Stegostoma tigrinum: one gene and its partner. Each later gene encodes a partner of the first gene's protein in a complex. Links are inferred from orthologs where the notes say so. Each region holds a gene or a part of one and is shown in the gene's direction. Other genes may lie near its edges. The genes, in order: acyl carrier protein, mitochondrial-like; LYR motif-containing protein 4.

Region 1 (15,225 bases):
AAAAATGTAAATGCACTACAAACAAAGAATAATAAGAGGAATTATAACAATATTCTTTGAAACAAAAAGTAAATTGTAAACACTAAAAACTTAAATTCTGGAAATACCGCGTCTATGACTATCTAAAACAAATGCTTTGTATTCAGCTTCAGTCCTTATGTTTCGAAAATGCTTTTTAAAAAAAATTTAAATCAAGCTCACTGTGTAACTAAGATTACCTGAATACATACTAAATCATCCTCTGATTTCTTTCACTCCTGTTTGTCATGTTTTCATATCTTACAATTGTTATCTTGCATCACTGGATACAATGTATAAAATAAGTCTGTTGGTGTTTTCAGCAATATAATGAGTTTGTGCTTGTAATGCTGCACTTTCGAGGGACAAGCCCCACATGTATTAAAGATTTCTTCTTTGAGATTACTGATTTATTGGGATTTAAGGCATGGTGGTTAGCACTGCTGCCTGACAGCACCAGGGACCTGGGTTCGATTCCACTGAAGGGTGACTGCCTGTGTGGAGTTTGTACATTCTCCCTGTGTCTGTGTGGGTTTCCTCTGGGTGCTCTGCTTTCTCCCTACAATACAAAGATGTGCAGTTTAGGGTGGCATGGTGGCTCAGTGGTTAGCACTGTGATCTCACAGCGCTAGGGACACAGGTTCAATTCCAGCCACGGATGACTCTGTCTGTGGAGTTTGCACATTCTCCCCATGTCTGTGTGGGTTTCCTCCGGGTGATCCAGTTTCTTCCCACAGTTCAAAGATGTGCAGGTTAAGTGGATTGGCCATGCTAAAATGCCGATAGTGCCCAGGGTGTTTAGGTTAGCTGGATTAGACCTGGGAAATGCAGGGATGGAGGAATAGGTCTAGATGGGATGGTCTTCAAAGGGGCGGTATGGACATGTTGGGTTGAATAGCCTGTTTCCGCACTCCAGGATTCTGATTCTATGAAATATAAATGAGGACTTAGGCAAAGGGATGATTTGCTACAAATTACACTTGTCTACCTATTCAAAGCTTACAGCATAGCTTGTTTGAATTTTAGTCTATACTTAAGATTAGAAAAGGCTTTTTTTTAAAGTTTAGAATCATAACAAGAACATTGATTTAATGCTACTGACAAAGGTACCAAGCAACTTTGCAAAATTTGACACTGACCTATGTTAAATACTTAAGCTGGTGAGGAAGATGTCTTTAAGGATTGTATTACTGCAGAAAAGTGTGGTTCGTAAGGAGAAATTCTAGATCTTAGTACCTCAGCAACAGAAACTCTGGCTACTAGTGGAATGATTAAAATTTGAGAGGCATTACAGCCCACAATTAGAGGGATACAGAAATCTTGAACAAGTGAGCCCAACGCTGAGTTATTAGAATGTTTTTGCAATATGTGAAATGGGTAGGGCACATGGGTATGATTTATATTCGTATTTGGATTACATCCTACCAGATCAGACCTGTGAGTCTGACTGCGGTTATGGGTAAATTGTTGGAGGTGATTATAAAAGACAGGATTTATGACATTTAGAGAGGCAAAAATTGACTAGGGATAGTCAGCATGGCTTTATGCGAGGAAAATCGTGTCTCTCAAACATTTGATTTTTCTTGAGGAAGTTACCAAAAAGGTTGATGATGGCAGTGCAGTAGACATTGTTTCTTTGGAATTTAGTGAAGCCTTTGACAAATTTCCACACGGTAGACTAATTAGTGAAGTTAGGTCACATGGGATTCAGGATGACCTTGCCAATTGGATACATAATTGGCTTAACGGCAGGAGACAGAGAATAATGATGGAGGATTGCTTTTCGAATGGAGGTTTGTGACTAGTAGTGTTCCACAGGGATTGGTTGTGGTTCTCTTTTGTTTGTCATTTTTATAAATGATTAGGCTGAGGAAGTAGAAGGCATGGTTGGTAAGTTTGTGGATGACATCAAAATTAGTGACATTGTAAACAGTGAAGAAAGTTTTCCAAGATTACAAAAGGATCTTGATTACATGGGTCATTGGACTGAAAAATGGCAGATGGAGTTCAATCCAGATAAATGTGAGGTGCTGCTTTTGGTGCAACAAACAAGGCTAGACCTTAATTAATGGTAGGTTCTTGGGTAGCATTGTTGAACGGGGGGAAGTAGGGGTGCAGGTACATAATTCTCTAAAGTTCGTATCACACATAGTCAGGATTTTTAAAAAACTCATTCTTGGGATGAGTGTGCTACAGGATAGGCAGCATTATTGTCCATTCCTAATTGCCCGGAAGGCAGATGAGAGTCAACCATATTGCTGTGGGTCTGGAGTCAACATGTAGGCCAGGCCAGGTAAGGATGGCAATTTCCTTCCCTAAGGGACATTAGTGAACCAGATGGATTTTTCTGACAATTGACAATGGATTCACGGTAATCATTAGATTCTTAATTTCAGACATTTATTAAATTCAAATTCTACTATCTGCCATGATGTGATTTGAATCCAGGTCCCCAGAACGTTATCTGGGTCTTTAGATTAATGGTCAAACAATAATACAACTAGACTATCACCTCCCCAAAGCCGCTTGGCCTTTGAGTGTAGGAGTTGGGATGTTATTTTGAGGTTAGTACAAGACATTGCTGAGGCCTCTTCTGGAATATTGTCTCCCATTTAGTCACCCAGTTATAGGAATGATATTATCAAGCTGGAGAGGGTTCAGAAGAGATTTATCAGGATGTTGCTGGGTGTGGAAGGTTTGAGTTATAAGGAAAGGCTGTAGAGGCTGGAATATCTTTCACTGGAGCGTAGGAGTTTGATAAGTGACCAAATTGAAGTTTATAAAATAGTGACAGATATAGAGCTGATGGTCATTGTCCTTTCCCTAAGATGGGGAACCTCAAGCCTAGGGCACACACTTTTTGCAGATGAGAGGAAAGAGATTTCAAAAGAAGGCAAGAGGCAAATTTCAAACACAGAGGGTCGTTTGCATTTGGAATGAACTTCCTGAGGAAGTGGTGGATGCAGGTCCAATTACAATGTTTAAAAGACATTTGGATGGATATATGAATGGCAAAGGTTTGGAGGGATATCGGCCAGAAGCAAGCAAATGGGACTAGTTTAGTTGGGATTATGTTCAGCATGAACTGGTTGGACTGAGGGGTCTGTTTCTGTGCCCTATGACTCTATGATTCTTAAGTAATTTATTGGAAGTTAATATACATTTTATTGTAACACAAGTTTCAGAAATGTTTACTGATATCAACCATTTACTCAGTTTCTTTTTAAGCTAAATTCAAATTCTAAAAACTACCATGGCTATTTTCCAATCATGTTGTCTGGATTATTTGTTGTGTTATAATAGCATGCCCTTCAGCATTACCCAATGAACACAGAGATCCAAGTATATTAAGTGATACTTAGACCATTCAAATCAGGTCATGCATGCTTCGAACAGAGTTGATCAAGGTAATGTCTTTCACAATCTCGGAAATACCTGCAAAGCACTTCAGGATGTTAAGTACTACTAGTGTAGTCACTGTTCTGGAGAAAACAGCAGTCTACCACACTGTTGAGATTAATGAAGGATATGATGTTTGATAGTTAAATATCAGGCCAGGAAGACAAAGAACAGCCCCCTTGTTTTTCTAGAAATGATGCTTTACAGCTGAAAGGGCAAAGATCTCAGTTTACATCTAAACCAGTGCACTTGGATTTTGTATTGGAATTTTAGAACTTGGAGCCATGACTCTGTCTCAGCAAACATGAGGCACAGTTGATACGTCAAGTTAAAAGGTTTGTGTGTACAGGTCAATGCCTGCCAAAAGGTGATGTTTTTATATAAATATGTTATTCACAGGATTGTGGTGTGCAATCACAGCACTTCAAACCGTCCGTATAACAAGTTTCTTAAATACAATGTTTTCAATATTTGCCTTTCTGCAGTTTTTGTGTGAGATCTGTTTACTAGTCTGACACTTCATCATCGGTTCTGTACTACACCACCCCCTGCTGGCAGAAGGACAACATTTTAGTGACATTTTAATTGCCCAAGTTACATATTCGCCCTATGTCCGTACCGACCATTTGGAAACAAAACCCAATTAGACTGACTCACCTGCAAATTTTTTGCAGAGGCCAAGTCATGTTAAAACAAAAACGTCTAATTTTTGTTACCGTTTATCTTGGATTAAGGTTAGAGGAAGGTCAAATTGTGCAGAGCATGTCACCTCGTTCAGGAGCTGGGGAAAGAAAAGTCACACTGCAAGAGCACAAGACAAGGGTTGCACTGTTTTTATTTAGTTTTTTTGTACACTTGGCCCTCGTTGGTTATTCTGACTTACATGAGCTTTATACAAACTGTTTTCAGAACATAGGAAACAATACAGACTCTGAATATTAAAAAGTGCGAGTACGTCCTGTTAATAAAACAAAAATAAATTATCAAAAGGCAGCAACACATACTCATGCATCTGCCCAAAATAACTTAAACATGTTTTCAGCAAACAGGTAATCTAATTTACAAGGAGAAAGCTACACCACACAAGGGTCTGGGAATTGGGCCAATATTGGTTGCTTCTCTCAACTTTTTCGTGTTCTGGTTTTGAAGATGTGCTGTTCCTGAAGCTTCATGGGGTCATTGGCACAGCTCCAGGCCTTACGCAGGGTGAACTGAGTGCAGTCAATGGCCCAGATGGGGTAGATACCTCCCTTACCCAGGCAGGAACCAGCAGTCAGTGCCTGGTTACGATGGCGCAGGCACTTGGTTATGCTTGCAGGGAGAACTGAAGAGCCATGGGTAATAAGGCGCTGTTGCTACAACTGGTTAAGTCTCTTCACAGAAGCTCGCTGTTCCATAGGCAGACTCCTGTGCTCCCTGTTGTTGTAACAACAGCAAGCTGAACTCCAGACATCTACTCAATATCTATTCAATGAAAGGAGTGCATCTCCAACTTTTCCTCAGTATTAGGAATTACTAGATTTTACAAAGGCCAAGGCCCATCTACTTTGCCTTGTGCTGTCCTGGGGAAGAAAATCTTACTTTTATATGTTTAAAACAATGATCAATTACTATTCATAACAATCATGTTCTCAATTAGTCCACGGTAAATTAGTACATAACGTAAGAAAACTCATTGATCAAGGTCTTTGAGAATCATATTTAAAATTTTTCTGATCTACCCAAGCATATGACTTTCACTACGTGTCATTTCTCAAAAGTCTTCATATCAAATTAGTCCTTGTAATCAAATCTTATTATAGCATTCTTTCTTGCCACTTTGTGGGTGGTTTATGGTCAGTTGTACAAAGCAGGTAACCAACTCTTAAGAAATAAATAAAGAACATTTTTTGGTGGTGGACAGGGTGGTTATTGCGCTGACATGATTGTGAAATTAGGTCAGCGACACACCGACAAACCAGTAGAACTTGCAAATGATGTGTACCAGTCCAACTTGTCTTGTGTACCTCAGAACAGTGCTCCAGTATGACCAGTACATTCACTACCAATTTCCTTACTGATTTCTTCTCTTTGGGGTTGGGAGTGTTGGTATAGAAGCATGGAGACCCTATGTTAAGAAGCTGTGGTACCACTGCTCTGAAACTATATTGATAAGATACGTTGTATAAATAAGAAAATTCACAGCTTCATTAGTAAACAGTTATCATTTCCTACACTTAGGTGATTCCAGTCAAGGTAACTTACCATTGGTCAAAGAGTTGGTGACAGTGACCAATTCTGGGTGAAAAGCTGTTTACCATGGGGGGTTATGGACGTGATTTAGGAATGGACTGGAGGCTGGGGCACGTTAATGCAAATACAGAAGTAACTCAGGACAAAATAATTCTCAGAAGGCTCGACGTGGGATGCCAGGTAGAAAGGAAAATTATGGAACAGTCCTGGACAATTGCTAGTTGGTGAAGGGTCCTCTCATGCAGCTTCTAGCCCAGGATGCTCTATAAAATGACAGCTGTACATGCTTTCTGTTGTACATTACCTCCTATAAAGATGGTAGTGCACTGCAGTTTCCTGCTGCACTTACCCCATATAAAATGTTGGATGGAAATGCTTTATGCTGCACTGAACACCTTGTAAAGATAGCAATGGCGCCTACTTCCCTGAGGGCTACAATCCACTGCCATCTCGTGGCCCATGGCAGGATTGCACCTTGTAAACTTTTGGTCAAATAGGAATGTTGAAGTTAGAACATATTTTTTCTTTATTTTCTCACAGGTGCAGATGTCATAAAGTCAGTATTTGTTGTCCATCCTTAATTCCTCTTGAGGTGAGCGTATGTTGTGCCAATTCAGAGGGTACTTTAGAGTAATCCGCATTAGTGGTTCTCGAGTCACGTGTAGGCCAGATTAGGTAAGAACGCCATATTTCCTCTTCTGAAGGACAATCACGAACCAGAATATTTTAGTTTCGTAGCAACATTACTGAGGCTAGCCTTCAATTCAAGATGGTATTAACTTGAACCCCTGCCTCCAGAACATTGGTCTGCGCTTTTAGATTAGTAGCCTTGTTACTCGACTAGTGACTACACCACTACCTCCCCTATCCTGACTATTAAAGAAGGACTTTTCATTACAAGCCAGAGTACCACCCTACAGATCTCGCTATATTGCAAGCAATACGAACAGTCAGTTAAGTGACAGAACGAAAATTAAAATCTGGAGTATCTATTTTGATCAACCTTATCCAAAGTTTCTTATCCAAATCCCTGAAATCTGGACTATGACCCATAACTCCACACTGACTTAACTTGGTTGTATCACTTATCTCCACAAAGGTAGATAAGTTCCACAGCAGCTACGAGTCGTCAGACTGCAGACTCTCCACGGACAGCGCCACCAGCGGCGGTAGGTGTGGAGTTCGGGGGCGGGGCAGGCCGGGCCGCGCATGGGCGTTGTTGACCTTGCCACGGCCGCCGCGCTACACGCTGGAAACAGAATCGTTTCCAAGATGGCGTTGCGTGTCCTCTCTGGATGTCTCCGCCGGTGGCCGCAACCTTGGGGCCGGCCAAGGGCAAGCCCGAGTGTCGGGGCCCTGCCCCTCGCCGGATCCAGCAGCAACTACTCTCAGTACGTCTGCAACAGGCGGGTTGTAGATGTGGCGCCCCGAGCTCAGGTAATTTGGGGGTTGGTGATCAGGCCGGACCCAGAGCTCCTCTTCTCAGTCCGAAAGGACGCTGAGGCAACGGGTGTAGCATAACTCCAAGTGCCATCTGCGTCAGACGTTGGAGTAAAAATCCTTAATTATTCGATTAAAACTTGAGTCGAGCTGGAAAGTGTGGAATAAAATGTTATCACTCCCTAATCCAGTGGAGTTTAGAATTGGCTTGAGCCTCGGGGGGGGAAATGCACTTGTTCTTCTCTGTACTGCTAATTGTCAGGGTCAAATCTTCAAATTGGGTAACAAGATTTAAAATAAATACATTTATTAATAACCAGGATATTCTGTAAGAACAGAAGTCGGAGCAGAGTTGGCCATACGACCCCTTAAATCTGCTGGGTTATTCTGTTAAAACCACGACTAATCGTCTATATTGACTACACTTTGCATGTTGATCCCCAGATCTGTGAATTCCTTAATTTCAAAAAATTCATTTATCTGTGTCTGGAAAATACTTGATTTGAAGTTTCACAGTCCTCTGAAGATCATTTTCATCTTCAACCTGAAATTAACTTTGCTGCCCTAATACCCCAAATCTTTTTTGAAGTGAAGTTTGCAATGTGGAAAAGTGGCAGCTAAGTTATGCATAAGTTTTTCACAACAATGTTAAATGATGGGATAATTTGATTGTTAGTAATGTTGATTGAGAGATCATTTCTGAACCAGTGTAGTGCAGAGAGTGCTGCATTGGCAAAAAATGTCAACTTTCAGGTGATAAACTGAGGTCCTGTCTAAGTGGATGTCAAAACAAAAGTTCTGTGGCACTATTCAGGCAGTTCTCCTGGTATCCTGGCCTAATTAACTAGGGAGGTATTAAATAGATTGGAAACTGAAATAAATGTGGACGTTGGAAGTCAGAAACAATAAAACAGAAATTGCTGTAAAGCTTAACAGTTCTGGCAGCATCTGTGGAGAGAGACCAGTTAACATTTTAGGTGCAGTAACCCTTCCTCAGAACTGATGTTGGCTAGTAAGAAGAGAGATAACAAGGTGTAGAGCTGGATGAACACAGTAGGCCAAGCAGCATCAGAGGAGCAGGAAGGCTGATGTTTCGGACCTAGACCTTTCTTCAGAAATGGGGGAAGAGAAGGGAGTTCTGAAATAAATAGGGAGGGGGAGGTGGATAGAGGAGAAGATAGACGAGAGCACTCAGACAGGTCAAAGAGGCAGGGATGGAGCCAGTAAAGGTGAGTGTATGTGGGGAGGTAGGGAGGAGGTAGGTCAGTCCAGGGAGGACGGACAGGTCAAGGAGGTGGGATGAGGTTAGTAGGTAGGAGATGGGGATAGGGCTTGAGGTGGGAGGAAGGACAGGTTAGGGAGGTGGGGACGAGCTGCACTGGTTAAGGGATGCGGTGGGGGAGGGGAGATTTTGAAGCTTGTGCAGTCCACATTGAGACCATTGGGCAGCAGGGTTGCCAAGCTGAATATGAATTGCTGTTCCTGCAGCCTTCAAGTAGCACCATTGTGACACTGCAGTAGGCCCAGGATGGGCGTGTTCTCTGAAGAATGGGAGGGGGAGTTGAAATGGTTCATGACTGGGAGGTGCAGTTGTTTAGTGCAAACCGAGCGCAGGTGTTCTACAAAGCAGTCCACAAGCCTCCACTTGGTTTCCCCGATGTAGAGGATGCCATAACGGGAACAGCGGATGCAGTATACTACATTAACAGATGTGCAGGTGAACATCTGCTTGATGTGGAAAGTCTTCTTGGGGCCTGGATGGGGATGAGGGAGGAGGTGTAGGGGCAGGTGGAGCAGTTCCTGCGGTTGCGGGGTAAAGTGCCGGGTGTGGTAGGGCTGAAGGGGAGTGTGGAGTGGGCAAGGGAGTCATGGAGCGAGTGGTCCCTCCTGAAAGCAGATAAGGGTGGGGAGGGAAAAATGTCTTTGGTGGTGGGGTTGGATGCAGATGGCGGAAGTGTCGGTGGATGATCCATTGGATCCAGAGGTTGGTGGGGTGATACACGAGGACGAAGGGGATTCTGATTTGTTATTGAGGGGATGGGGTGTGCGGCATGAGTTGCGGGAGACACGGTCGAGGGTGTTCTCGACCACTGAGGGGGGGAAGTTGTGGTGGTCCTTGAAAGACAAGGACATCTGAGATGTACGGGAGTGGGATGCCTCATCTTGGGAGCAGATGCGGCGGAGGCGAAGGAATTGGCAATAAGGAATGGCATTTTTGCAGGAAGGTGGGTGGGAAGAGGTGTATTCTAGGTAGCTGTGGGAGTCAGTGGGCTTGAAATAGACATCAGTTTCTGGGTGGTTTCAGAAATGGAGACAGATCCAGAAAGGAGAGAGATGTATTACAGATGTTGCAGGTGAACTTAAGTTTGGGGTGGAATGTGTTGGTTAAGTGGATGAACTGTTGGAGCTCCTCGTGGGAGCAAGAGGCAGTGCCGATACAGGAGGCCACAAAGGAAACAGCAGATACAGTATACCACATTAGCAGATGTGCAGGCGAACATCTGTTTGATGTGGAAGGTCTTCTCAGGGCCTGGGATTGGGGAGGTGTAGGGACAGGTGTAGCACATGCTTCGGTTGCAGGGAAAAGTGCGAGGGGTGGTGGGGCTGGAGGGGACTGTGGAGAAGACAAGGGAGTCACAGAGAGAGTGGTCCCTCCTGAAAGCAGATAAGGGTGGGGAGGGAAAAATGTCTTTGGTAGTGGGGTCAGATTGCAGATGGTGGAAAAGATGGAGGATGATGCTTTGGATTCTGAGGTTGGTGGGATGGTTCGTGAGGACGAGGGGGTTCTGTTATGGTTATTATTGCAGATAGGGGTGTGAGGGATGAGTTGTGGAAAATGCGGGGAAACACAGTCAAGGACATTTTTGATCACTGTGGTTGGGAAGTTGCGGCCCTTAAAAAAGAGGGCATCTGGGATGTCCAGGAGTGGAATGCCTCATCTCGGGAGCAGATGCGGCGGAGGCAAAAGTAATTGGGAATAGGGGATCTGTGGACACAGCCTTTGATTTAGAGGGGGTCAATTTAGAACGGAGATGAGGAGACATTTCTTCAGCCAGAGAGTGGTGGGCCTGTAGAATTCATTGCCACGGAGTGCAGTGGAGGCCGGGACGTTAAATGTCTTCAAGGCAGAGATTGATAACTTCTTGATCTCGCAAGGAATTAAGGGTTACGGGGAGAGTGCGGGTGAGTGGAGTTGAAATGCCCATCAGTCATGATTAAATGGCGGAGTGGACTCGATGGGACGAATGGCCTTACTTCCACTCCCATGTCTTATGGTCTATTGGCCTCTTTTCATGAAGGTTCGTGAGAGAAGCTGTATTCTAGGTAGTTGTCAGAGTCGGTAGGTTTGAAATGGATATCGGTTTCCAGGTGGATGCCAGAGATGGAGACAGAGAGATCCAGGAAGGAGAGAGAGGTATCAGAGACGGTCCAGGTGAACTTAAGGTTGGGATGGAAGGTGTTAGTGAAGTGGGTGAACTGTTTGAGCTCCTCATGGGAGTATGAGGCGGCGCCGATTACAGTCATCAGTGTAATGGAGGAAGAGATGGGGGATAGGACCAGTGTAGGTGTGGAAGAGGGATTGTTCCATGTATCCTACAAAGAGGCAGGCATAGCTTGGGCCGCGTGGGTACTCATGGCCACTCCCTTTGTCTGTAGGAAGTGGGAGGAATTGAAAGAGAAGTTGTTGAGGGTGAGGACGAGTTCGGCTAAGCCTTTGTAGGATATATAGAACAATCCCTCTTCCAAAGCTACACTGGCCCAATGCCCCACCTCTTCCTCTGGTACATTGATGACTGTATCAGCGCCGCCTCCTGCTCCCACGAGCATCTCAAACCGTTCATCCACTTCACCCCCTACCCTGTTCCGGTTGTGTCCTTCTCTACATCGGGGAAACCAAGCAGAGGCTTGGGGACCACTTTGCGGAACACCAGCACTCAGTTCGAAACAAACAACTGCACCTGCCAGTCGTGAACCATTTCAACTACCCCTCCCACTCCTTGGACAACATGTCCATCCTGGGCCTCCTGCACTGCCACAGTGACGCCACCCGAAAGCTGCAGGAACAGCATCTCGTCTTTCACTTGGGAACCCTGCAGCCCAAGGGTATCAATATGGACTTCACAAGCTTCAAAATCTCCCCTTCCCCGACTGCATCCCAAAACCAGCCCAGCTAGTCCCTGCCTCTCTAACCATTCCTCCCACCCCAAACCCCCCCCCCCAATCTCCTACCCACCAACCTCATCCCATCTCCTTAAACTGTCCGTCCTCCCTGGACCGACCTATCCCCTCCCTAACTCCCCACCTACGTTCATCTTCACTGGCTCCAACCCTGCCTCTTTGACCTGTCTATCTCCTCTCTACCTATCTTCTCCTTTATCCATCGTCCATCTCCCCCACCCCCCACCATTTATTTCAGAATCCCGTCCCCTCCCCCATTCCTGAAGAAAGGTCTTGACCCGAAATGTCAGCTTTCCTGCTCCTCTGATGCTGCTTGGCCTGCTGTGTTCATCCAGCTCTACACTGTGTTATCTCAGATTCTCCAGCATCGACAATTCCTACTATCTCTGCAACAATTCAGCACACCACCTTGTTTCCTTGCAACATCTCTGTCTCAGGCTTGCCCATGTTCCAGCAAAGCTCAGTGCAAGATGAAATAACAATACCTCATTTTCTCCTTACCTATACCCTTCAGTATTTTATAAATCTTTGTAAGGTCGCCCATCAACCTCCTACACTCCAGTGGAAAAAATGCCCCAGCCCCTCCCTATCACTCAAACCTTTTATTCTCGGCAACATCCTGGTAAATGTTTTCTGAACACACTCCAGCTTGATAATATCCTTCCTATAGAACGGTGACCAGACCTGGACACATTACTCCAGAAGAGGCCTCATCAATGTCCTGTACAACCTTAACATGACATCCTGACTCCCATAATCAAAGGTCTGAGTGATAAAGTTGATTCATAATTGTTTGTCTATAGTTGGCATCTAATTGTAAAAAAAAAGTAATTCCTAAATACAGAAACCTGGTCTGTGCATACTGTCAACTAATTTGGGGAATTTTATGTAATTTTATAAAATCTTCAACTTTTATGACAACTTTAACAGCTTGAGTTCCAATGAGCTGCCCCAACGAGGCGTAACGCTATTGTATGTCAAAACAATGGACTTTTTATTTGCAAACACAGTCTACAGGCTCTGCAACTGGCATTTTAAATTAACCTGTTTCTTGCATCTCCCTTTGCAGAGTTGTAGTCTGTTTCTACAATCGTTGCGTCATTATGGGGATCTGCCCCCCCTCTCACTTGACAGCATCCAGGAACGAGTGCTGTATGTGTTAAAACTCTATGATAAAATTAATCCTGACAAGGTAAGGAAACAATGTCACTGACCTTTTATTGAATTTTCATAATACAAATGATATCACTCTGAGAAAATGTAATGTCTTTGAAAGGGAGTTGCCAACATTTCTTTATTTAATTCTTAAAAAAGAAAATAAGCAGTAAAGAGCTTAAAATATAAACTGAGTGAGGTGATGACTGAGTTTGCAGGGACTGGAACAGAAGCCACTACTAGCAGGAGCATGAAAAATTAACATGTAGCCCTGAACAACAGGCCAGTGTAAGCAGCCTCCATGCACCCACCTTTAGATGCTTCATAGTACACAGTTTTGCTAACATGGTATGTCTGAAAGTTGGCTGTAGATGTCAATCATCTTGTCTCAGGGCAAAGAGGAACAATATATAAATATCCTTATAGTTTGTTACTTGTCTCCAGGGTAACCAGAAGTAATTTCAGCTTAGCTTTTCTTGCTGCTCTAACCCATAGTTTTATAAATACTAAAACACAATGGCTTTTACAGATAGAGATATGCAAAACCTTCCTGGCATATCTCATATCTTCTTGTCTTTTTGACAATCCTTTTAGCCAATCTCAGCTAGTTTACAAAATATTCCAACGAACCCTTAAGTTTTCTTGAAGACCAAGAATGCCGAAATACCTGGATAACGTTCAGGCTTGGGCTGAGAGCTGGTAGGTAATGTTCTCGATCAAAGAGCAGGCAATGATCATGTTAAACTGGAGAGAATCTAGCCCTGTCCCCTTGACGTTCATCCAGGCAAGTGGGAAATATTCCATTAAAGACCTGACTAATGGGGCGTACTTTGGAGGGGTAGTGGGGCAGTCATGAGCTGAGTTAGTTGCTGCTGAATTATGAGCCTCCTGCCAGCTCCTTAGAAGCTACAGTATATGTGGCTGATCTATTGAGTTTCTGGTCCTTAGAACGAGTAACAAACTTTAAAAATTACAGAAGTATTTTAGAGGCTTAAGACATCTGTTGGTGTGTGTGCTGTGTGGTCAATCAGCTGGTGAGAATGACTTCAATCAGCACCCATCCACCATGTAGCAAAGAGGCAGTTGTAACATGCATACTCCCTGTCCTCTTTCCATTTTTAAATAAAGCTTTTCAGAGCCTCATTATGAGGCAGGAAACCCCAGTTTTTCTTGGATACTGAAAGTACAAGGTTGTCTGTTCTTTGTTTTCAAAGGATTAAATCTGTTGTTGGTTGTGCTGAATGTCTCGATTGCCTGTGGATTTTCTCTTGTATTTCTGAAACCCCCTATATTTACAATATTTCCTTTCTTCTCAAAGCTTCTACTAAGCTCTCATTTTATGAAAGATTTGGGTTTGGACAGTTTGGATCAAGTAGAAATCATTATGGCCATGGAAGATGAGTTTGGTAAGTGTCTGTGTGTGTGGTAGGTTGTAATGTGTTCAGTATATCTTGGTGTTTTAATCCAAACACCTCAGGGTTTTTGTCAATTAAACTGAATCTTTTGACTCCTTTGCCTGAAGTTACTTGAGTTGTAGCCTGCTGTATATTCCACAGTCATAGCTATCCTCTCTGTTGCTGTCAAGTAGCTAATCATCCTTTGTGAACCCAGACACACTCAGCCTATTCAACCCTACAGGCTTTGCAGACTGTCTGGTCCTATATATTACCTGTTTCAAAGATTGCATCATATTTAGCTTAATTTGCAAATCCTTGTTTGATGAAATAGTTCTAGCCTACATGCAATAAGATCTGGTTAACATTCAGGCTTGACCTGCGAGTACTAAGTAACATTTGTGCCAGGTAAGTGCCAGCCAGTCTATTGACTATCTCTAGCAAGAGAACCCTGAACCACTTCTCCTTTAATAAGAACAACATTATCAATGATTCTACCACCAGTTACATTTCTGGAGGAGGTGGAGTGGCAGATGCTTTTAATCAAAAACTCTCTGGACCTGCTAAATAAGTAGATGCAATATTTTCTGTGACACATCCCTCCAAAGCCACTTTTTTGCAAGGAAGAGAAATCATAAGTGTAAGGAGGTAATCTGTACTTTCCTGAATGGCCACAATTGCATTCTCGAACATCCACCCACTCCCTCCATTAATAGTACATGTGCTTGCAGTGTATTTCATCTACAAGCTGCATTGTTGTAACCCTCCGTGGCTTATTTGAAACTACCTCTAAAACTTGCAACCACTAGTATTTAGAAGAACACTGGGTAGCAGTGCTTGACAGGTACCTCACCACAGGAAGGTTGTGGGATCTCTGTTAAAATGTTACCTCAATCAGAGGTGATTCAGGCTGGTGATAAATTATACGTTAAGGGAAGGTTGTTGAAGGGCTTTGAAAGAATTGCAGTTTTGTCCAATGTGGGAACGTGAAGTGTGTTAAATCTGTACGTTGGCCATGTTGTTTGTCTCTAGGAGTCATTGAGCTTTATTTTTGTCTTTTTGTAGGATTTGAGATTCCGGATGTAGATGCAGAAAAGTTGATGACACCTGATGAGATTATAACTTATATTGCAGATAAGAAGGATGTGTATGAATAACTTTTTTTCCCTGGAGACAAAAAATGGGTAAGAATTTGTCAGATAAGTTCTTAAAAGGGGAAGAGAAGTGTGCATTTTTTAACTTAAGCCATATCACAATGACACAGTCTCTGTCAGATAAAAGCAGAATCGATTGGGACTGTTCTCCCACAGACAAAACTCATGCACTAAAACTTTGTTGAGTCTGGTGTCTGAAGAATGTTGCTTGCATTAATGTTTGACTGTTGGAGGAAATGATACCCTGAAACTGT
Region 2 (15,459 bases), on another chromosome or scaffold:
GACAGCATTTATGCTATAATTAAGGGGTGCTGTGGGGGCGATGCGTGAAGGATGCTGGCAAAAAGATGTTGATTGTTCAGATTAAAGTGATCGGAATGTGAGAATGCTTTACTCGTTATTTTCTCCCATTTCTTCCCCCTTTTAGATTTGCTTGTTACATTCTCAGTAATCATGTCCTCTCTCCCCTCCCCCCACTCCCAACACCCCAGCGGAGCTCTATGTTCTTTCCAGTCAGAATATGGAAATATGTTTGGACATGTAAACATTTATAATTTTATTCTGTTACCTTATTATCAGGACATTACATTAAACCTAAAGTTTTTTTAAGCAAATGGTAGAGAGCACCAAGATAACAAAGTGTGAAGCTGGATGAACACAGCAGGCCAAGCAGCATCTCTGGAGCACAAAAGCTGACGTTTCGGGCCTAGACCCTTCATCAGAGAGCACCAATTGGTTTAAGGTTGACAAAACAAAATCATGGCTGCGTCAATCATCCCTTTAAATAACCACCACATGCAGTCTTGGGTAGCCAGAGCAGGCATTTGCAATGGGATGATTTTTGTTTATAAGTTAATAAAGGTTGAGGTATACAATTATGGAATTAAGCAAAAAAACTGAAATATAAATAAATTTGCAAAAAGCATAGTGCAAAAGTCTATTTTTAAGATGAATGGTGAAATTATTCCACAAGCATAATATAAAGCTTTCACGGTCAAAGAAGTTATTCAACAATTATGAATTTGTACATAATCAAAAACCCATTTCATTCAACAAGTGTGAATTTCAAGGCTGATTCTGCAATGAGAAGAATATTGGGAAATAAATGGGAAAGTTTTCACACCAACTCAGTGACTTCTAACTTATTTCCATCTTCAATGATTTCAATATCACACCCTATGGAGTAGCAGTGAGTCACAGACATTAACTTCTGGACTTCAGGACTTAAAAGCAAAAGATGACAAAATTGGCCTTAAACTTTAAACAATACTGATGACGAATACAGATAGCCTTGCCATCTTTATATTACAATCTTTGGGGCCACTGAAACTTCATTTGCAGCCTTCTGCTAATCATGCAGCCTCCAGTCTCAAGCCTGACTTGGTCAAAACTAGTCAACTTGGTACAATTCGTGCTGAAAGCAATTAACATGCTTCCAATGCAGTGTGAAACCAGAAGTTGAACTCTCTCTATTAATACATGCTGAAGTAACAAGACAAAGTAAATAAAGTTCCATGATTTGGAAAACAGTTTCACTGATTATAGACAAAGAAAATGTAACAAGAATGTTTTTTAAAGTCTTCAATTAGTTACCTCAAGGTTATGCTGTACAGCAATTTCTATGCTTGGGGTAATGTGCATTTAAAATGATTATTAATTACTGAAATATGCATTACCTTGAACACAGCGGTAAAAGACCAGCTACAAATTACCTTCAATAGACACAATATCCCCCAGTTTTCAGCTTAGTTTTAATCTATACCATCATGCCAAGTCATATTGATCCTACAATATTCACAATTACACTATATAATCAGGCTTATTCTATGCTTCACTCTTAATTTTAAGAAGAAACAGCCCAAGGTATGCAGTGAAAGACAACAAACATGCTGATAACTATCAGCTCCAAAAATCACAACATTTGCAAGGAGTACTTCACCTCCTCCAGAACTTCCAATTCCCTGGCTCCCAACACCTCATTTTCACCATGGACGTCCAGTCCCTATACACCTGTATTCCTCATGCAGATGGCCTCAAGGCCCTCCGCTTCTTCCTGTCTCGCAGGCCCGACCAATACCGCTCCACTGACACCCTCATCTGCCCAGCTGAGCTCATCTTCACCCTCAACAATTTCTCTTTCGATTCCTCCCACTTCCTACAGACAAAGGGGTATCCGCATGGGCCCAAGCTATGCCTGCTGCTTTGTAGGTTACGTGGAACAGTCCCTCTTCCGCACCTACACAGGCCCCAAACCCCACCTCTTCCTCCATTACATTGATGACTGTATCGGTGCCACCTCTTGCTCCCCAGAGGAGCTCGAACAGTTCATCCACTTCACCAACACCTTCCACCCCAACCTCAAGTTCACCTGGGCCATCGCCAACGCATCCCTCACCTTCCTGGACCTCTCAGTCTCCATCTCAGGCAACCAGCTTGTAACTGATGTCCATTTCAAGCCCACCGACTCCCACAGCTACCTAGAATACACCTCCTCCCACACACCCTCCTGCAAAAATTCCATCCCCTATTCCCAATTCCTCCGCCTCTGCTCCCACGATGAGGCATTCCACTCCCACACATCCCAGATGTCCACGTTCTTCAAGGACCGCAGCTTTCCCCTCGCAGTGGTCGAGAACGCCCTTGACGGAGTCTCCCGCAACATATCCCTCACACTCCACCCCCACCACAACCGCCCCAAGAGGATCCCCCTCGTTCTCACATAACACCCCACCAACCTCCAGATACAACGCATCATCCTCCGACACTTCCGCCATCTACAATCCGACCCCACCACCAAAGACATTTTTCCATCCCCACCCTTGTCTGCCTTCCAGAGAGGCCACTCTCTCCGTCACTCCCTTGTCTGCTCCACACTCCCCTCCAACCCCACCACACCCGGCATCTTCCCCTGCAACCACAGGAAGTGCTACACTTGTCCCCACACCTCTTCCCTCACCCCCATCCCAGGCCCCAAGATGACTTACCATATTAAGCAGACGTTCACCTGCACATCTGCCCAATGTGGTATACTGTATGCATTGTACCCAGTGCGGCTTTCTCTACATTGGGGAAACCAAGCGGAGGCTAGGGCACCGCTTTGCAGAACACCTCCGCTCGGTTCGCAATAAACAACTGCACCACCCAGTTGCAAACCATTTTAACTCCCCCTCGCATTCCCCAGACGACATGTCCATCATAGGCCTCCTGCAGTGCCACAATGATGCCACTCGAAGGTTGCAGGAACAGCAACTCATATTCCGCTTGGGAACCCTGCAGCCCAATGGTATCAATGTGGACTTCATAAGCTTCAAAATCTCCCCTTCCCCCACTGCATCCCAAAACCAGCCCAGTTCTTCCCCTCCCCCCCACCGCATCCCAAAACCAGCACAGCCTGTCTCCGCTTCCCTAACCTGTTCTTCCTCTCACCCATCCCTTCCTCCCACCTCAAGCCACACCTCCATTTCCTACCTACAACCTCATCCCACCTCCTTGACCTGTCCGTCTTCCCTGGACTGACCTATCCCCTCCCTACCTATACTCTTCTCTCTACCTATCATCTTTTCTCTCCATCTTCGGTCCGCCTCCCCCCTCTCCCTATTTATTCCAGAACCCTCTCCCCATCCCCCTCTCTGATGAAGGGTCTAGGCCCGAAACGTCAGCTTTTGTGCTCCTGAGATGCTGCTTGGCCTGCTGTGTTCATCCAGCTTCACACTTTGTTATCTTTATTTGCAAGGAGTACATTTGTTTTAGGAGAATGAAATTAATAACTAAGAATTTTGGGCAATCTAACATTCTTCCTCATCCATTCATTCTTCAACGGTAGAAATTTTCCTAAGACCTTTCATGTAATAATTTCCACATTTTTGAAACCAGTAGTAGTATCCATAGGTTAGAGTAGGAAGAACAATAGAAGTAAGAGTGTCAACTGATTGCACATTAGAAAAAAATGGTACTAAGTGACAGTCTGTGAAAATGGGCAAGAGGTAATTAGGCACAGGGAATCAAAGGGGATTCAGAGTTATCTGAACATCTATCACCAACCATGAAAGGCATAGGGGTGTGGAGACATACCAAGTAAACCACACAGGCTTTGGGTTATTGCAGGAAGTGTGTTGCAATATCATGAATGGATTTCAAATGAGAAATATGTGAGCACCAGGCATTTTGGCACAATTCACCCAAAATCAGCTCAATGAGCCCAAAAGATCTGAGAATTTAAAGCAAAAGTGATACCGAATGCAAATCTTCTGCTTAAAAATCTTCTGCTTTAAAAACAATTGCACAAAAGTTGGCACGCTGGCTCAGTGGTTAGCACTGCTGCATCACAGTGCCAGGGACCTGGGTTCAATTCCAGCCTCACACGACTGTCTGCGTGGAATTTGCACATTCTCCCCATGTCTGCGTGGGTTTCCTCCAGGCACTCTGGTTTCCTCCCACAGTCCAAAGATGTGCAGGTTAGGTGGATTGGCCATGTTAAATTGCCCATAGTGCCCACAAATATTTAGATAAGGTGATTTTGACATGGGGAAAATGCAGTGATACAGGAGTGGGTCTGAGTGGAATGCTCTTCGGAGGGGTGGTGTGAACTTGTTGGGCCAAGTGGCCTGTTTCTACAATGTAGGGATCTATGACATCCCACTCTCCTAAACTGTGCAAGCCCATACTGACACATTTTAGTAAGAAGAATAAGTAGATGCAGCATGATCTAAGTATTACAATTTTGAGGAGGAGACAGGAATAAAGAGACCTGGAGATGAATGTACACTAAAGATAAATTAAATTGAACAGTTTTTTTTGGGGGGGGGGTGGTGGGCGCGGAAGTGAAACAAGAACAGAGATGCCTGGTGATGTGTGTGCTTATTCTTTAAAAATGCAGGACTAGTTGAATCCTTGGTTTTTTTTTAAAAACAGAGGAGTGTACACAAAAACAAACAAGGTATTCTAAGAGATAATGGGAACTGCAGATGCTGGAGATTCCAAGATAATAAAATGTGAGGCTGGATGAACACAGCAGGCCAAGCAGCATCTCAGGAGCACAAAAGCTGACGTTTCGGGCCTAGACCCGTCATCAGAGAGGCATTCTTCATCAGAGAGGTATTCTAACCCTTTAACATACTGGTTAAACATCAGCTATAATATCTTGTTCGATTCTGGAGTTCACACTTTAGGAAGAACGTCAGGGCTTTGGAAATGATACAAACATGATTTACTAGAATCATCCCAGGGTTTAGCGACTTCAGTCATGCAGAGATGTTATTTACCAAGGAGCAGAAAAAGAATAGAAGTTAATTAGATGAAGTGTTCACAGTCCAGAATGGTTTGCAAAAAAATAAATAAAGGACACAAACGTAAGATGATTAGCAGAAGAACCAGAGACCACAAGCAAACATTTTTGTCACTCATCATTTCGCACATACCACAGATAGAACATAGAACATAACAGCACAGTACAGGCCCTTCGGCCCTCGATGTTGTGCCGACCTGTCATACCGATCTAAAGCCCATCTAACCTGCACTATTGCACGTACGTCCATATGCTTATCCAATGACGACTTAAATGTACCTAAAGTGGGCGAATCTACTACTGTTGCAGGCAAAGCGTTCCATTCCCTTACTACTTTCTGAGTAAAGAAACTACCTCTGACATCTGTCCTATATCTTTCACCCCTCAATTTAAAGCTATGCCCCCTCGTGCTCGCCATCACCATCCTAGGAAAAAGGCTTTCCCTATCCACCCTATCTAACCCACTGATTATCTTATGTGTCTCAATTAAGTCACCTCTCAACCTTCTTCTCTCTAATGAAAACAGCCTCAAGTCCCTCAGCCTTTCCTCGTAAGACTTTCCCTCCATACCAGGCAACATCCTAGTAAATCTCCTCTGCACCCTTTCCAAAGCTTCCACATCCTTCTTATAATGCGGTGACCAGAACTGTACACAATACTCCAAGTGTGGCCGCACCAGAGTTTTGTACAGCTTCACCATAACCTCTTGGTTCCGGAACTCGATCCCTCTATTAATAAAAGCTAAAACACTGTATGCCTTCTTAACAGCCCTGTCAACCTGGGTGGCAACTTTCAAGGATCTGTGTACATAGACACCGAGATCTCTCTGCTCATCTACACTACTAAGAATCTTACCATTAGCCCTGTACTTTGCCTTCCGGTTACTCCTACCAAAGTGCATCACCTCACACTTGTCTGCATTAAACTCCATTTGCCACCTCTCAGCCCAGCTCTGCAGCTTATCTATGTCTCTCTGCAACCTACAGCATCCTTTGTCACTATCCACAACTCCACCGACCTTAGTGTCGTCTGCAAATTTACTAACCCATCCTTCTACGCCCTCATCCAGGTATTTATAAAAATGACAAACAGCAGTGGACCCAACACCGACCCTTGCGGTACACCACTAGTAACTGGTCTCCAGGATGAACATTTCCCATCAACTACCAGCCTCAGTCTTCTTTCGGCAAGCCAATTTCCAATCCAAACTGCTATATCTCCCACAATTCCATTCCTCCGCATTTTGTACAATAGCCTATTGTGGGGAACCTTATCGAACGCCTTGCTGAAATCCATAATTTCCTTAATAATAATTTCCTTACTTATTCTCAGTCTGAAAAATCAGAATATATTTTGAGACACAGTACATCAGTATACTTTTAAAAGATGAGCTTGTGATATCATCATTGTATCATAGAATATGACCTAATTGTATAAACACTGCATACTCCACCTTAAGTAGATCACTTGAAGTATGAATTGCTACTACAAGTATGATGCTCAGCTATAACATTAGTGTAACACTTATCTGTAACTCTTACGTGTTTGTAATTCAATAATTATACATGATAACCAGTTGAAATAAGCATCTATTGGATCCTTCAACAGTACACTCCGTTGAGGTTGTACTGGATCTTGGATTTGGATTTCTGCTGCTTTGGACAGTGGATGTTCAGGCCAATTCAGATTGGGTCACTTGGAACATAAGAATAAACTAGTGAGCAAGCAAACTAACAAATACATTTATGCATCATCCAGATAAGTCAATTTCAACTGAGTAACAAAAAAAAAATGCCATGCACATTCAAAAATACCCAGTTTCTGGACAATTCTGGTTTGTAGACTGCCAATTTTGAGAATGTCTACTTGTAATTATTTAAATCTAACTGTCTTTGTCAATGAATTGATCAAAGTTGGGAAATGAGAATGTCCCAGATTTACAACTTGAGTGAAAACAGCACATGAATAATTTATTACACTGTTTAGATCTACAGAATGGCTGTAAATTGGGAGAGGGGAGTGTGCAATAGGACCTGAATGTTCTTGTGCACCAGTCAGGTAAGCATGTAGGTGCAACAGGCAGTAAAGCAGGCAAATGGTATGTTTGCTTTCATAGCGAGAGGTTGAGTGTAGGAGCAGGGAAGTGTTGTTGCAGTTATACAGGGCCTTGGCAGGACCACACTTAGAACATTGTGTGCAATTTTGGTCTCCTTTTCTGAGGAAGTCACTCTTGCTCTCAAGGGACTACAGTGAAGGTTACCAGGCTGATTCCAGGGATGGTGGGACTGACAAGTGGAGAGATTGACTAGATTAGGATTATTTTCGCTGGAATTCAGATGAGCGAGTTGGGGGGGGGGGGGAAAGAGGGGAGAAGAGGAGATGTCATAGAGACTTTTAAAATCTTAATGGGACTGGACAGGGTAGATGCAGGGAGCCTGTTCCTGATGGACGTGTCCAGCACAGGGGTCACAGTCTAGGGATTTGGGATAGACAGAGAATGGAGATGAGGAGATACTTGTTCACCCAAAAGTGATGAGCCTGTGGAATTCATTACCACAGGAAGTAGTTGAATGTACTCAAAAGGCAGCCAGATATAGCAGTTGGAGTGAAAGCAGGATTAGGCTCTTGAGTTGGACAATCAGCCATGAACGTGATGATTAGCAGAACAGGCTCGAAGGGTACAAATGACCTCCTCCTGTTCCTCTATGTTTCTCATCATACTTTGGAAACAACAGAAGGATTTAAATGGATTTCTCCTATGATAAGATCAGTAGGCTATTGGGACATGGAGTGATCTGTACAAAAATGTATAGAGACTAAGTGTATTGCTAATTTTATTACTCCAAAACAAATTCCCTCTCAACTCACTTGGTGGCAGTCACTTATTATCAATACTACCAGAATTCCTGCTCCATTAAAAAAATCTCAATAGAGCCGTGGTAACTGTGTAGATGTGACCAATGCTGTGTGAGATTAAAAAGGCAGCATATATTTTATATTAACTAACTTATAGATCAAATAGCTATTGACAAGCAAAACCTCATAAGAAAGCTCTAAGGGAAAACTCTTTTCAAGCACAAATGGCAATATTTTGAATAAGTGCTTTGATTTGTGTACAAGATACATGTGACTAAGAACAAGGTAACACAGAATTTACACCAGAGAAACTGGTCTGTTTATATCACACATCTCCCACATTTCAAACAACATTGACTCCATATTATGCAGAGATAGTAGGAATTGCTGACGCTGGAGAATCCGAGATAACAAAAGGTGTAGAGCTGGATGAACACAGCAGGAAAGCTGACATTTCGGGTCGAGAAGGGTCAGCTTTCCTGATCCTCTGATGCTGCTTGGCCTGCTGTCTTCATCCAGCTCCACACTTTGTGTACTCCATATTATCCAATTGGCTTGAACACCCACAGTCCAAAGAACCTGACCAGAAATCCAACAAAGTCTAAAATCTGACGTAGCCTTAGTCTTGAGATTTCTGGTTGAGTGAATGTATTTGTGCTGTGATGAAAGCAGAATTGTCACCTTTTGTTAAGTACATACCAGCTACATCATTTCTACATATCTTTCTACCCGCTTTTGTCGTACACACCCTCCTCTACCCCCATAATCCTGCAAATCCCAATTCGTGGAGGAATCTGTCTCTACCACTCTTTCAGATAAAAGGTATTCCAGACCCTAATGAGCCTCCCGGTGTGAAAACGTTGCTCATTGCCATCCACTTTATTTTAGTTTCAGATCTCCAGCACCAACGGCGTTTCTGCATTGTTTCGCGTCCTTTTTGTACAGGCTGCGTCACAGCCAAAAATGAGAGATCGGAGGAGCGCTCAAAAGTTGCGTGCATGAAGAACAAAACCTGATAACGATTATTAACCCTGCCCAACAGCAAGTAACTGTGCAATGAATTGCATTCCTCGAGACACCGGACGTGGTTCCCCGACACGTCCCTTCTATTTTAGTCTCAGGATTATAAAAGAGAACTCCTTTTTGGAACGATGACCTTGTTTAAAAAAAAAGGAACCACCACGGGCATATTCTATATCCCTGTGCTCTTAACATGCACAACTTCTCACGAACCAACTCACCTTCTTTGCAAAGATACAACAGTGACACCGTCCCTTCCTTGACCTCTTTTTTCCCCTCCCACCACCTCAACAACACAAATTGACAATAGTAGGACACTGTCTTGCCAGTCGAGAGGAGAGAACAGTTTTATGAAAATAAAAGGTGTTAGAGAATGCGAACAGTGGATCCTACTTTTAGGATTTTGCAAGGCAAAAGCAGAACGGACGTATTCAGTTTTGTTTTGAATCCTGAACGGTCGAAGGTTCCACAGGACAGCCGTTGCCTGCACAACGTTCCATTTCAGGCACGCGCGCCCAGCCACCGGGGTCCTGCGTGGTAAAGACCGAAGAACGAAGATGGCGGTGCCCACAAGCAGTCAGGTCCTGTCTTTATACAGGTTGATGCTGAAAGAAAGCAAGAAGTTCACCAGTTACAATTATAGGTAAAAAGAAGTAATTTTGTTTTCCGCCAGGGAATGTTGATATTTGCTACGTACTTTGCTTATCAATCCCATGTCACACTCCTCCATCCCACTTAAGCCGCAATTTAATTTCAACCACTGACATTTTATTTATGTAGCCGTTCTTAATGCGAGAAAAACGGGCAAAAACGCAATCAAAAGCTCGCGCGCGCGCGCGCACACACACACACACACGGGAAAAAAAAATCTCAGGCAAAAGCGAGATTAGAAGCGGCGAACAGAATTTAAGTTTGATATAATAGGAACTGCAGGTGCTGGGGAATCCAAGATAACAAAGTGTGAAACTGGATGAACACAGCAGGCCAAGCAGCATCTCAGGAGCACAAAAGCTGACGTTTCGGGCCTAGACCTAGGCTCTCTGATGAAGGGTCTAGGCTCGAAACGTCAGCTTTTGTGCTCCTGAGATGCTCCTTGGCCTGCTGTGTTCATCCAGCTTCACACTTTATTATTTAGGAAAGCTGACGTTTCGGGCCTAGACCCTTCATCAGAAATCTGAGAGATCGGCTTTAAAGAAAGGTTTGAAAAAAAGGGATCAGTGGGAGATCCACAAAATGTCAGACCTGACCAGGGATAGGTGTGTTTCTGGCTTTGGGTCCTGGATAAAATTCAGAAACACTGGGTGAGACCATGAAGGGATTTCAAACCAAGATTGAGAAGTTGAAGGTGGAAGTGTCAAGAAAGTCATATGTTTATACATTGTCTTTCATGATCGTTGGAAAAAAATCAAAATGCTTTACAATCAATTAATTGTTATGGGAATGTAGGTCACCAATGCCAGACTAAAGCTTGATTAAGATTTTGTGCTGAATAAGATAGAGTTGCAACAACAAGAGCTGAGGAAGGGGTCACCTGATGAAAAACGTTAACTCTGATTTTTATTTTCTTCACAAATGCTGCCAGGCCTGCTGAGCTTTTCCAGCAACTTCAGTTTTTGTCCCTGATTTACAGTATCTGCAGTTCTTTCTGTTTTTATTTAGGATACAATCTCCGGACTTTTAGATGTATTATTAAAGTCAGTCCTTTTACAACACACATATTTCCTCCAGCCCTTCACACACTCACTGGTCATCAAGCATTTATCTGCTCATTCAGAGATAGTAGGAGCTGCCGACTCTGCAGTCTGAGATAACAAGGTGTAGAGGTGGATGAACACAGCAGCCTGGGCACATCTTGTTTTTTAAGCACTTGGCCCATAGCCTTGTATGTTACGCCTTGCAAGTGTTTATTGAAATACTACTTAAATGTTGTGATCGTTCGCACCTTTACCACTCATTCAGGCAGAGCTCTGGATACCCATCACTAATTTGGTGAAAATGTTCTTCCTTGAATTCCTTCTAAACCTCCTGTCTTTTAAATCTAAACTGCTCAATTACTGAACCCTCTACTAGGAGAATTTTCTTCCTTTCGAACTTTCTATACCTCATAATTTTGTATTTATCAGTTAAGCCCCTACCTGTCTTTTGTCCTTTAAGGGAAACAACCCCAGTCTATCTAGTTTCTCATCATAGTTGAGACGCTCCAGCCCAGCCGATATCCTGGTGAATCCTCTCTAGAGCATTCACATCCTTCCGACAGTGTTGTGACCAGTACTGCACACAACAATCCAGTTGTGGTTTAACTAACATCTTTTGCAGCTCCGTCAAAACTTTTCTGCTCTTGTATTCAGCATCTTGACACATAAAGACAAGTATCCCATGATTTCCTAACCATTTCATCTACCTGTACTGTTGTCTTCAAGGATATGTGACATGAACAAAAATCTGTGTGATCCTCTGTACTTCTAAGTACATTGTGTACTCCCTTGCCTTGTTTGTGCTCCCAAAGTGCATCACCTCACTTTTCTGGATTCAATTCCATTTGCCACTGTTCTTCCCTTCTGACCAACCTGACTGTATCATCCTGTGGTCTAAGGCTTTCCTGCTCATTTACCACACCACCAATTTTCCTGTCATCTGTAAACTTACTGATCAAACCTCCTACATTCATGCCTAGATCATTAATGAGCACTATAAACAATATTGAACCCTGTGGTACAGGAGTGTATGGGCTTTTACCTTCTTGACCAGGATACTGGTATGACATATCCTGTATGACATCTTGTCAAAAAATTTACTGAAGTACATTTAAAGTGCACAAGCTGCCCACTGTCATCTCCACACTTATTAACCACTTCAAATAACTCAAATCAGACTTGTCAAATACAATCTCGCCTTGACAGACACATGTTGACTATCCTTAATTAATCTTTGTTGGTCCAAATTGAGATTAATTCTGTCCTTCAGTATGCTAGCCTTGTCCTCCTAGGTGGTAAAGATTGTCAGTTTTGGAAGGTGCTGACAAGGGAACTTGGGAACTTGCTGCAGTGCATCTTGTTCTTGATGATCAAGACCCATTAGTTTATTTGCAGCCAAGTAATATCAAACATCTAATAAAACAAGACAAGTCAGTTAACAGCAATGTGCCTTTACCTAAGAAGCATAGCCTCAAAAAAGGTGTCACAAATTTAGGAGGGAGATGACAAATTTCTTTACTCAAATGATTCTGAATTCTTGGAATATTCTTTCTTTTAGAGGCTGAATATGCACAGCACTGGTTCAAAATAAATATTGAAAGGTTTTTAGAGGATTAAGGGATTTGAGAGATACAAGAATAGTGCAGGTAGACAGAGTTGAAGTAGAGGATCAGCCACAATCTTATTAATGGTCGGAGCAGCGAAGAATGGCCTGTTTTTCTGTTCTGAGCAGAGAACAATGTCCCAAGAAAAGCATTTCGAAAGCTGAAAGCTAGGCTAGCTGAAGACTTGGCCATTAATGCTGGTGTAATGAAAATTGAGATACATGAGCATTATCAGAGTGCAGAGACCCTAGTTGTAGCACTGGAGAAGATTACTAAGATAAGACGTGCGTTGAAGGCGTTTGAATACATTGAGATTTTAAAATATTGTGATGATATTGGATAAGAAGCCAAGAATTTTACCAAGTTCAGTGACATGTAAGTGTTTCGGAGCTTTGGATGAGCTCAAGATGGAGTCAATGATATATTGTTGCTTGTCATGGGGTCTCCTCACACTGCTTCCCCTCCTTGTCTTGGCTACCAGAACTGGTACAGTACCTGCAAATTAGACACAGGAGCAGTCTATTTGGTCCCTTGAGGCTTCTGTTAATCAGCAATACCGTGGCTGATCTGATGAAATGAAAAAGGCTTCTATGCCTACGCTCAACAAAAAGGACAATGCTTAGACATATTTAAACAGATTCCTACCAGGCTTTGACTACAACGCTCTGCATCTTCGTCCTCGTCACTACTACCTTTCACCTCTGCCTCCACCATTTTAAGTTAGCTTTCAGTTTTCAGTTCCAACTTCTGAAGTTCAAAAAGTCTCCCTTTCTTCTCATTTGTTTTTCATCTGTTTTCGATCTTCATATTCAGGCTGCATCAGTTGTGATTGATTTTTAGCCATTTACAATTTCCGATTGCATTTCTGGCAATTGTAAGTATCGAGCTATTGCTGCAATTACCTCCCCTTTCCTCATGGGGAACGCAATTTCAACTCCAACTTGCCTGCCAATTCCAAAAGTTGCACACCTTCTGTAAACTACCCCAAGTGACTTCTTCCACACCAGGAAAATTTAACCTCTGAAAGAGCCATTATTACACAAGGCACACCCTATTTGAGCGAACTCAATTCAATGCCCAAAAAGGGAACACCGATTCACTAACCCTAAATCCTAAGTTTAATGGAGATGTGCGAGGGACGTTTTTCACACAGAGAATGATAGCAGCTGGAATGCACTGCCAGAAGAGGTGACGGAAGTGGGCACATTGAAAACATTTAAGAGGCACTTAGACGGGTACATGAATAGGGAAGGAATAGAGGGATACAGATCGAAAAATGGCAGGTTTTTTTTAAGATTAATTACAGCATGATGGTCAGCACCAGCTTGAAAGGCCAAAGGGCCTGTTCCTGTGCTCTACTTTTTCATTTGATCATTCATTTGCCTATACCTGCTGTCTTGTGATTTTTGACCTTGTCAGTCCCAGTCCAACACCAGCACTTCCACATCAGTGAGGGATAAGGGGCTGTGGAAGAACAAAGGTATTTAGTGTCTGTCTGCAAAAATCAAGAAAATCTAACATGTAAGTATGCAAAACAAGAATATTGTCCTGCTTGACTCTGCAATCAACCTTATCAAAGGCTGAACATACTTGGCCTCAATGCCTGTTATCCAGCTCAGTGAAATAATGCTTCCTCCAGTTCTTACACTTTAATGATTCATTTGGTTATGATTAAGTGTTGTACATACATTATCACAAAGTAAGTTATGAAAGTTCTTTGTATTACAGTCACAATGTGATCTGGATGGTTGAATCTTCTTCCCAGTGCAATCCTACTGCAGTATATTTTAAGGCTTTTTATTAAGTTAGTTTTTATCTCCCAGGAAATCTATTGTACTGCTCATGTGTAATCATTGTTCTGCAACACTGCAGTGCTGTACCATCTCAAGGTGCAAGAAGGACACTAATTCCCTTGACTTCAGGTTGATCTTGGAGTACAGCATTTATAAATAAGGCTGTTTTTAAACTTGCTTAATTGTGGAAGTTGACCCCTGATGCTGAAAAGCAGTTATAATCTATAACGCCTTTGGTGTTTGCTGATTTGCTGTAATTGCATCAATATGTTAGATTCTAGGAACAAGGTTATGTTCATTAATGACTTGTTAGTACTATTGTTTTCTCTTCTCTTGTGTCCTTTCCCATCTCAGTGGATAATTAAATGGTAGTTTGCTGTGACTTGTGCTGTGGGATCTTTTCTATCCATCTTGAAAAGGCAACACTGGTGTCAGTTTAAAACCAAATCCAAAATATGGTCTCTCCAACAGTACACCATTCTCTCACTACTAAACTTATGTGCTTAAGTTGTGGACTTGAATACATAATCCTTTGACTGAAGTGTTATCCTCTCGCATAACTCCACTTTGGTTCAAAACCCTCAAAGTACTTCTCACGATAAATGTGGAAAAAGCCCATTAGCCAAACTTTAAAGCAATTGCTGTGCACCTGCTCCCTGCAATATGAATAGACTGATTTCCAGAACACAAAGCAACTTCAACACTATTGTAGAATTAGTTTCATTCATGTACTTAGTGACATTTCACCTTCATTTACTCTGCTTTCCCATTTGGAGTAAGGGATCAAAATTGGAAAGATGTCGTATATTAAAGACTAGATAGAAGGTTAGAGAGTAAAATAGTTTATGAGAAACGAGGGTGCAATGATGGCAGGAATGGAAAACGAGGGGAAAAAAATGGAATATGATAACAATCAAGATAAAAATTTACGAAAATATAAAACTAAAGGCTGTATACATAGTGAATTCATTACAAGTATTGAACTAAAATATGATCTGATCACCATTACAGAGACATAGCTGCAGGACAACAGCAATTGGATCCTCAATATACAGGGTTATCTGACATGTCAGCTAGAAAGCTTGAACTGTTTGCCTTTTTATTATGTAATGTGACAGGATTAAGCCAAGATCTCGAGTAAGGGCACCACTCGATAGGTGGATCTGCAATATAACTGGATTTGCAAGGGATCCACAAGTGAAGATGTATTTTCTACATCCACCTTGTCAGGACTATTCAAGATCTTAAGCTTCAATCAAATCACCCCTCAGTCTTCAAAATTGCAATGAAAATGGACCAGCATGTCCAATCCCTTCTCAGAAGGTAATCTAATAAAAATCAGATGATTTTGCCTGAATGTGAAGAAAGGCACAGAATAATGTGAACAAAGAATGAGAGGAAGCAAACTACAAAATGTAAAAATGGATACCTAAAATTTCTACAGTTACTTAAAAAGGAAAAGAGTAAGAAAAATAAGTTCGCCGTCCAGA

Evidence for each region.
Region 2: the proteins of acyl carrier protein, mitochondrial-like (region 1) and LYR motif-containing protein 4 are in contact, whole or in part, in a crystal structure (PDB 6ODD), measured with the Homo sapiens proteins. The link is inferred for Stegostoma tigrinum from reciprocal best matches to the Homo sapiens genes NDUFAB1 and LYRM4. Residues at the interface, in NP_004994.1 of Homo sapiens: Lys92, Asp111, Ser112, Leu113, Asp114, Val116, Glu117, Met120, Glu123, Asp124, Glu129, Ile130, Asp132; in NP_065141.3 of Homo sapiens: Arg6, Leu10, Ser11, Tyr13, Arg14, Leu17, Arg18, Lys21, Arg37, Phe40, Arg41, Lys44.

The regions. Positions count from the first base shown.
Region 1 is NC_081376.1:22,365,327-22,380,551, reverse strand, and holds the start of acyl carrier protein, mitochondrial-like, read left to right. Parts: upstream 1-6,843; 5' UTR 6,844-6,858; coding exon 6,859-7,086; intron 7,087-12,337; coding exon 12,338-12,460; intron 12,461-13,741; coding exon 13,742-13,829; intron 13,830-14,882; coding exon 14,883-14,974; 3' UTR 14,975-15,001; intron 15,002-15,225. UniProt on the Homo sapiens protein: Carrier of the growing fatty acid chain in fatty acid biosynthesis.
Region 2 is NC_081355.1:11,430,043-11,445,501, forward strand, and holds the start of LYR motif-containing protein 4, read left to right. Parts: upstream 1-9,245; 5' UTR 9,246-9,435; coding exon 9,436-9,521; intron 9,522-15,459.